Rattus norvegicus: one gene and its partner. Each later gene encodes a partner of the first gene's protein in a complex. Links are inferred from orthologs where the notes say so. Each region holds a gene or a part of one and is shown on either strand. Other genes may lie near its edges. The genes, in order: Eif3d and Eif3l.

The links.
Region 2: Eif3d (region 1) and Eif3l share a complex: the UniProt entries of both Homo sapiens proteins name them as parts of the eukaryotic translation initiation factor 3 (eIF-3) complex. The link is inferred for Rattus norvegicus from reciprocal best matches to the Homo sapiens genes EIF3D and EIF3L.

The regions. Positions count from the first base shown.
Region 1 is NC_086025.1:111,422,725-111,426,536, reverse strand, and holds part of Eif3d (eukaryotic translation initiation factor 3 subunit D), read left to right. Parts: intron 1-844; coding exon 845-977; intron 978-1,684; coding exon 1,685-1,832; intron 1,833-2,414; coding exon 2,415-2,545; intron 2,546-3,032; coding exon 3,033-3,118; intron 3,119-3,238; coding exon 3,239-3,368; intron 3,369-3,812. UniProt on the Homo sapiens protein: mRNA cap-binding component of the eukaryotic translation initiation factor 3 (eIF-3) complex, a complex required for several steps in the initiation of protein synthesis of a specialized repertoire of mRNAs.
Region 2 is NC_086025.1:112,531,600-112,535,945, forward strand, and holds the start of Eif3l (eukaryotic translation initiation factor 3 subunit L), read left to right. Parts: upstream 1-1,414; 5' UTR 1,415-1,532; coding exon 1,533-1,737; intron 1,738-2,705; coding exon 2,706-2,860; intron 2,861-4,346. UniProt on the Homo sapiens protein: Component of the eukaryotic translation initiation factor 3 (eIF-3) complex, which is required for several steps in the initiation of protein synthesis.

The DNA of each region.
Region 1 (3,812 bases):
ACCTGCTGGGGATCAATGTCTCCTTAAGTCCTGCCCGCTCCAAAGCAGATTTTGAAACCACTTACAGTGCTATGTAAGACTACTGGGTATGTTTTTGAAAAATCGAGACCCACAAAAAAAAAAAAAAAAAATGCATTAAGTTTACTAAAAGTTCCAGTTTCTTTCCACTCCTGACATCCAAGAAAAAGCACGGTAGGTCAGTTGCTAAGCTCTTGGGGTAGGAGAGGCATGGCAGATGTTCAGGAGACTCCACTTCTGCCCTTGTATACCAGAGCGCAAGGAGAGAGCTTCATTCAACCCAGAAGTCCACCCGTGTGCGTGCTTCCATAGTGGGCTCAGTTCCCCAGGGAAGGTTTACTGTGCTCTACAGAGGAACATGGGAGCTAAGAAAGCAGGAAGCTAAACTAGCATTAGAGTTTGTCTCTCTTTTTTTTTTAATACTTTTTTATTAATTTTATATGAATATACTGTAGCTGTCTTCAGACACAGTAGAAGAAGGCACCAGATCTCATTACAGATGGTTGTGAGCCACCATGTGGTTGCTGGGAATTGAACTCAGGACCTCTGGAAGAGCAGCCAGTGCTCTTAACCCCTGAGCCATCTCTCCAGCCCTCTCGTCTCTTTTTCAGAGAGATTAGTTCCATCTCTTTCCTATGTACTGGACTTCTGAGATGGGCCTCCCTTTGTAGCTGAGATTTAAACTTGGCATCCTCCTGCATCTGCCTCCCTAATCCTGGGATTATAGACATGCACCACTGCAATGCCTGGCGTGCACAGTAGATGTGCCTTCTGACTCCATGGCGTAAGAGGTGGGCGGACCTCTGATTTTTCTCTCTCCCCTCAGCGAGTGCTGTGGAGCACTGGAGTACTATGACAAAGCCTTCGACCGCATCACCACGAGGAGTGAGAAGCCTCTGCGGAGCATCAAGCGCATCTTCCACACTGTCACCACCACAGACGACCCTGTCATCCGGAAGGTGTGCACCCTTTGCCCACTTTTGGGAATGTTGCTGAGGCTTGAGAAAGAACAGGGCATGAGGTGTGCAGGTGTCCTTCAGTATTCACAGGGTTTGAATCAGGACCATCCCATAGGTACCAAAAGCCATGGCTGCTCCAGTCCCGGTGATGTGACTTACCTGTCAGCCCTAGCAATCTTCCTTCCGTGTTTCAGTTCCTTCTGGGTTGCTCACAACACCTAGACATTGGCTACTACTACGTAAGCAGTTGTTACACTGTTATTTGAGGAACCTGACGGATAGAAGGTGAACGTGTTTATCAGGCAAACTTTCTCCCCCTGAACATGTGGTAGACATGTTGGACTGGTGGATCCCACAGAAACAGCTGACTATGTGCATAGCCAAGCCTTAGATGAGGTTCTGAATCATACAGATGAGACTTGTTGCTAGGTGCACTTAAATATGTTAAGAGACATGCTCAAATTCCAGCTCTGCCAGGCTGACTTTGCTGCCCTGGTGCCTTAGCTTTCTTACATACAAAGGTAGAAGGATAGCTAGGCTGGCACCTACTGAGTGGAGCGTGTCCCGTGCATCCACCACAGCCTGCTGCAGTGACTGAGAGCCTCACCCAGCCTATTTGCTGCAGCCTCCTCAGGTGACTGGGGTATCTTCCTTCCCAAGTGACCTCAGAGTCCTCAGTTCACTCTAGTCTCTCTCCTTCCTTTCAGCTGGCAAAAACGCAGGGCAATGTGTTTGCCACAGATGCCATCCTGGCCACACTGATGAGCTGCACCCGCTCCGTGTACTCCTGGGACATTGTTGTCCAGAGGGTCGGATCTAAACTCTTCTTTGACAAGAGGGACAATTCTGACTTTGGTAGGCATGGGTGTTTTCAGTTCAGAATAATTACTTAAGAATGAGTAGTGTTTTGATCTCTCCCGTCCACTCAAAGAGACCACTTCGGTGCTTCTGTGGGCTTCAGCTCTGAGTCCTCACACCACTGTGGCCGTGAGTTACTATATGCATAGAAGTGTCCTCCGTTTCCTCTTCCTCTCTGTACTATAAAGAAGAATGCATATGCGTGTATTTTATGACACATGTGTATATACACACTGTCAATGAATCACTCACAGAATTATAGCCGTCTGATTCTGTTTGAGTCTCAAGCCTCATTTGTTAAAATGCCAAGAGAGACACATTCTCTTGAGGAATCCAGAAAGAATGAGAAGGAACAACTGAACTATGTGACCAGTGTTGTTGGGTCGCACCTAACGTTTTCAGTGAGCCTCCACTTCCCTGTGCATGCCACATTCTGGGGGAATCCTCTGTGAGCAGATGGCAGTTCTTTGGAGATGGGCCCCTATGATCTAGGTCCGTACCTCTACCCATACTGCTGTGCACACTGCCAGTGACTCTTGGCTACCTGAGTGGGTGACATCCATGCTTGGGCTTTTCCAGACCTCCTGACTGTGAGTGAGACGGCTAACGAGCCCCCTCAAGATGAAGGCAATTCCTTCAACTCACCCCGGAACCTGGCCATGGAGGCCACCTACATCAACCACAACTTCTCCCAGCAGTGCCTGAGAATGGTGAGTACACAGGAGCAGATGCACTGGCTTCTGGGTTAGGTCCTGCTGCTGAGCCTCTGCTCTGTGCTAGACAGTGGTGTGAGGTTGGCCAGGCACAACTCCTCCTGGTAGCAGGGATTGGAGCCACAAAAAGGTCTGTGTGCTCAGGCATATTTCCTCTCTATGGAGTAACTAATAATGCCTGTGTCACATAGACAGGCTGTGGAATGCCTTTGGATAAAAGGCCTTTCCATGCCTTGAGGATATGACATTGAATGAAGAGCATTGCTTGCTTTCCTGTTAGCTCAGCAGTCTGCTTGTGGTGGAGAGGGAAGCAGGAAGGAACATGATGGCTCTTACTCTGTGGAGTGTGTTAGGCTTGGTCCTTGATACATAGTGAGCCTACACCCTCAAGGACAGAAGCACCTAGCCAGGGCTGTCAAGAGCAATGCTGGGTCTGCCCACTTGTTATCAACCCCAGCTCCTGAAAGCTTTGTCACTTCTGCAGGGGAGAGAGAGATACAATTTCCCCAACCCAAACCCATTTGTGGAGGATGACATGGATAAGAATGAGATCGCCTCCGTGGCTTACCGGTATGTCGGCTCTGGGGGGGGTCTGACCAAGATTAGAGCACAGAACCTGTCCTGTGCTGTCCAGGATGGTCCGTCCACGGCAGTGGATCTTGTAGTGAATGAGTCTTGCTGTCTTCTTAGTTACCGGAGGTGGAAGCTTGGAGATGACATTGACCTTATTGTTCGCTGTGAACATGATGGCGTCATGACTGGGGCCAACGGGGAAGTGTCCTTCATCAACATCAAGACACTCAATGAATGGGACTCCAGGGTGAGGCACCATCACAGTTGTGTTCCGGCAGTGTGTAGTGGGGTTGGCTCTTGGGTACTCACACAACCATTGTGGGTGCAGGGATATCTCAAGTTTCCGTCACTGCCAACAGAGTAGAACAGTCTAAGTTAAGGTTTCTACCTTTATCTTCAAGCACTTTAGTCTGTTCATTCTGGCTATTGGCTCCTGTGGTCTGTGCATCTGATCTTGACCTCACCTTATCTTTGGAAGCTCTGGCCTCTTTCTTTACTCAGCCTCATTGCCACCTCATGATCTCTTTATCCAGTTCTGTCACTGCTGACCTCCAAAGACTAAGATCTGGACAGACACGCACACACAGTCCTCTTTGCGTTATCCATTTCCAGTGCTGCAGGACCTTAAGGTCAGGCGACGTCCTTTCTCCCTGGCTCTGTGTGTGGTGCCCTGAATTAAAGTGAAGGGCAC
Region 2 (4,346 bases), about 1.1 Mb from region 1:
GCTCCCCTTGAACTCCCCAACCAGTGGCTCTGGGACATCATCGATGAGTTCATCTACCAGGTGTCTGTCTGTTCAGCCTCAGCCTTAACCTCAAATAAGTAATTCAACAGACAGTAGCTATAGTCGGTGTTGAATTATGTCTCTATCATGGCTGCGTGGCCCTGGGGCCCTGAGGCCCTGGGGCTCTGGGCTCTGGGTTAGAATGGTTTTCTGAAGAGAATAGTTGGCTGACCTTTTTTTTTTTTTTTTTTTTTTTTTCTTTTTTTCGGAGCTGGGGACCGAACCCAGGGCCTTGCGCTTCCTAGGTAAGCGCTCTACCACTGAGCTAAATCCCCAGCCCCAGAAAAGAATTCTTGAAGAGCTGCTTTTGCTCTCCAGAGATCTCCGGACAACTCTGCTCTCAGTAGAGAAAAATTCTAAAGAACTGCCATTGCTCTCTGCTGGCTCACCTCGCCTAGGTTTTTCGGTTTTTGTTTGTTTGTTTGTTTGTTTGTTTGTTTTTACATATCAGTCTTGTCTTTTACTCCAGGATTCCTTCGATTGTCCTATGAATCAGCATCCCATGACCCTAGCACCTTACCTCTTAGGAGGCAGCAAGCACACATTTTCTTTTTTTTTTTTTTTTTTTTTTTTTTTTTATTTTGGTTCTTTTTTTCGGAGCTGGGGACCGAACCCAGGGCCTTGCGCTTCCTAGGCAAGCGCTCTACCACTGAGCTAAATCCCCAACCCCGTTGGCTGACCTTTTGACTCAGGAGAAAGGAGGAGAATCCTCCGGCCAAGCTGTATCCCAAGATAAGCATAATCCCTTGGCTTAGCTGCTGTTCTTTTGTTAAGGGCTTTGAGGATCAGTCAGTAAGTGCCCTTGAGAGTCTTCAGGCCAGCACACTAGACAGTGGGTGTGGCACCTTCTTGGCACTCTTTTCTTTTAAATTGAGACAGGGTTTTACTATGTGGAACTCACTTTGTGAACCTGGCTGCACTTGAATCCACAGACATCTACCTTCTGCTGCTGGGATTAAAGACACTTGCTACCACCCTTTTTGGTGTAGTTTAGTGTTTTCAGTCCTCAGATAACATGAAAGTGCCTGTTTGTATCAGTAAGTCTCGGGACATTGGCGCATAGGTGTTTATATGAATTTATCTGTTACTTAAAGTAATATGCTTTTTTTTAAGGTTTATTTCTTTCATGTGCAAGTGTTCTATCTGGAACCTTTGTGCCAGAAGAGGGCATCGGATCCCCATTCCAGATGGCTGTGAGCCACCATGTGGGTGCTGGGATTTGAACTCAGGACCTCTGAAAGAGTGTTCTTTACCACTGAGCCAGCTCTCCAGCCCTACAGTTGATGCTTTATTTCACCATCTGCTGTGACTTGAAGACATACCCTTCGTCTTCATCCCAGTACTTAGGCAAAAACAGGATGTGTGGAAGTTTGAGGCCACCTGAGCCAGATAGCTTTGCTATTTCCACCTCTGAAAAGTTTAATGAAAGCCCGTGTCACATCATTCTCCGCATGTGACTGTCACTTGGATTTATGCCCCTGCCACATTGTTTCCTTCTGCAACAGTTCCAGTCATTCAGTCAGTATCGCTGCAAGACGGCCAAGAAGTCAGAGGAAGAGATCGACTTCCTGAGATCCAACCCTAAGATCTGGAACGTGCACAGCGTCCTCAACGTGCTGCATTCTCTGGTGGACAAATCCAACATCAACCGGCAGCTGGAGGTGTACACCAGTGGAGGTGAGTGTGTCTGAGATCTGCCTGTTCCACTGCCGCTGTGTCTTGAACCTTTGTCTGGATTAATACCGCTCAGAGTTTTTGTTGGAAATGCCTTATATGTTAAAAAAAATACTGTGGGTTGGGGATTTAGCTCAGTGGTAGAGCGCTTAGGCCCTGGGTTCGGTCCCCAGCTCCAAAAAAAAACCAAAAAAAATACTGTGAATATGTGTGAATGATGGTGGGCGCGTGAGCTCGTGCAGAAGTTGATGCCTTCTACCGTAACATGGATTTCAGGATTGAAACTTGGGCCAATGCTGAGCCCTTTTACCCGCTCTTCCTTATTGAGAACCATAAGGTTCTGATTATTTATATGTCACCACTCTAGTTGTAGGTATGACCCTGGGAAATGGGAGCCCAAAGTCTCCTACAAAAGCCAGCTCTACTTGGAGCATCAGACCATTTATGTTTCAAGACAGGGTTTCTCCTCATAGACCAGGCTGTCCTTGAACTCAGATTCACCTGCCTCTGCCTCCTGAGTGCTGGGTTGTCCACCGCCAGGCAGGAAACTTTAATAACAAACCCAAGTCTGAAATAAACCCACTCCTATTCACTACACCTGGGAGGAGCGCAGAAGCTCGTTCCAAGAACAAACTCAAATTTAAGAGGAACAGGTATGTGAGGATAAGAACAGAAACAATCAGCAAATGAACTGCCCTTCTCAAAGCAGCTGTTAGTCAGCAGAAGCCGGGAACACAGCCAGGTTCAGGTTCCTGAGATTACTGGGCAGAGGTGTTCCGTGGTATAGGAGGTTACCTGGTTACATGGGACCTGGCAGTGGTGGTCAGGCCTGGCCTGTTTTGTTTTGTTTTTGTTTTGTTTTGTTTTGTTTGTTTTTGTTTGTTTTTGTTTTTTTTTTTTTATTCTTTTTTTCGGAGGCCTGGCCTGTTTTATCTTCCCCTTGGAAACAGCATGGCATCTGTCCCTCACAGGTGACCCCGAAAGTGTGGCTGGGGAATATGGACGACACTCCCTCTACAAGATGCTTGGCTACTTCAGCCTGGTGGGGCTTCTGCGCCTACATTCTCTACTGGGGGATTACTACCAGGCTATCAAGGTGCTGGAGAATATTGAGCTAAACAAGAAAGTAAGTACACCTGTCTCCTCTGTTCCGACTTCAAGAACACTGACCTGCTGAGTAGCCAGGAAACACCCCCTATCCCCACCCCACACACCGGTTGAGAGCTGAGCCTGAAGACTCTGTGCTGGATGACTTGGTTGGCTGGCCATACTGCAGTGAGTACTCTTGGAGTCTGTGTCCTGTTTTCAGAACACGAGAGTGAGAGCTCTTTACTAGAGTTAAAGCTGGGCATGGGTTGCGCATGCACTCTGGGGAAGCATGGGCAGCAGGAGCACCACAAGTTCAAGGCCACCCTGGTCGCCATAGCAAGTTCAAGGTCAGCCAGGCTTCTATATAAATAAGAACCTGTCTCCAAAAGCAAAAACAAATTCCCGAGACACGTAGGGGTTTTTTGTTTGTTTGTTTTTTTCTTTGACCCAATTGATAAGATATAATTGTCCACTTAAACATACAAAGCCCAGAACCATCCATCCCTTAGGAACATTAATAACAACCTGTAAATACACAGAGCAGAATCTTAACATCACCTGCCATGGCTTCTCACCTTCTCTCTCCTGTCTCTTCCTTTCTCCTCTAGTCTCCTCCTCTTCCTTCAAACTTCTCTCCTGCCCATCCTTCCTTCTCTTCCAATGACAGGCCTCCTTCTATCCTGTACCTGCCCCTCACCTGTACTTTACAAATTCAATGGGGAGGTTCTGGTGAAGTCATCTGATTCCGGAGACTAGGTAGCTGTCCTTGGGGCAGTGGAATTAGCATCAAAATACAGATAACTTCAGGGCAAACCACAACATTTCCCCCTTTTTGTCCAGTTAAAAAGCCTTTTCAAGGGATTGGGGGATTTAGCTCAGTGGTAGAGCGCTTGTCTGGGAGTGACCAAATATCTATACACATGGGAAGCCTAACACGGCTTCCAGAACTGAGAGGTTGTAGAGACAAATCTCCACTAGCACAGTCCCCTGTTAGCAACATGTGAGCGCAAGTCTTCAGCCTTCTGGCCCAAAATCAACTGACAGACTCTCGAAATGCAGATTTTGAAGGGCTGATCACCCTGTCTTGGCAGAGTTTATCAGTCAACTATTCTGCATAATTTGTCCTTCTCTAGACAGTATTAGTCTGCGGATGAAATAGGCAGTTTTGTCCAGTGGCTGCCTAACCACAAAGTATTGCCTCACCTGGAGGTAGAGATGTTCAAATTCTTCATTAAATCTGCCAAAGGGGAACTGTTAGGAGCAGATATGTCTCAACGAAAGATAAATAACTTTAAATCTCAAATTTTGTGGATATCTGACGTTTTTGAAAACCATCTATCTATATAAGGTAATCTGAACTATTGTCTCCATATCCTAAATTTTATCTTGAAAGTACTCTTACAAACTCAGAGCCATGACTTTGCTATTTGAATCTTAACTCACAGGTGTAATCAACTCAGAAGTTTGTAATGACAACAATAAAAGGACTGGCTCTAAACCTTGTACTTTTAAACTTTTTTGAC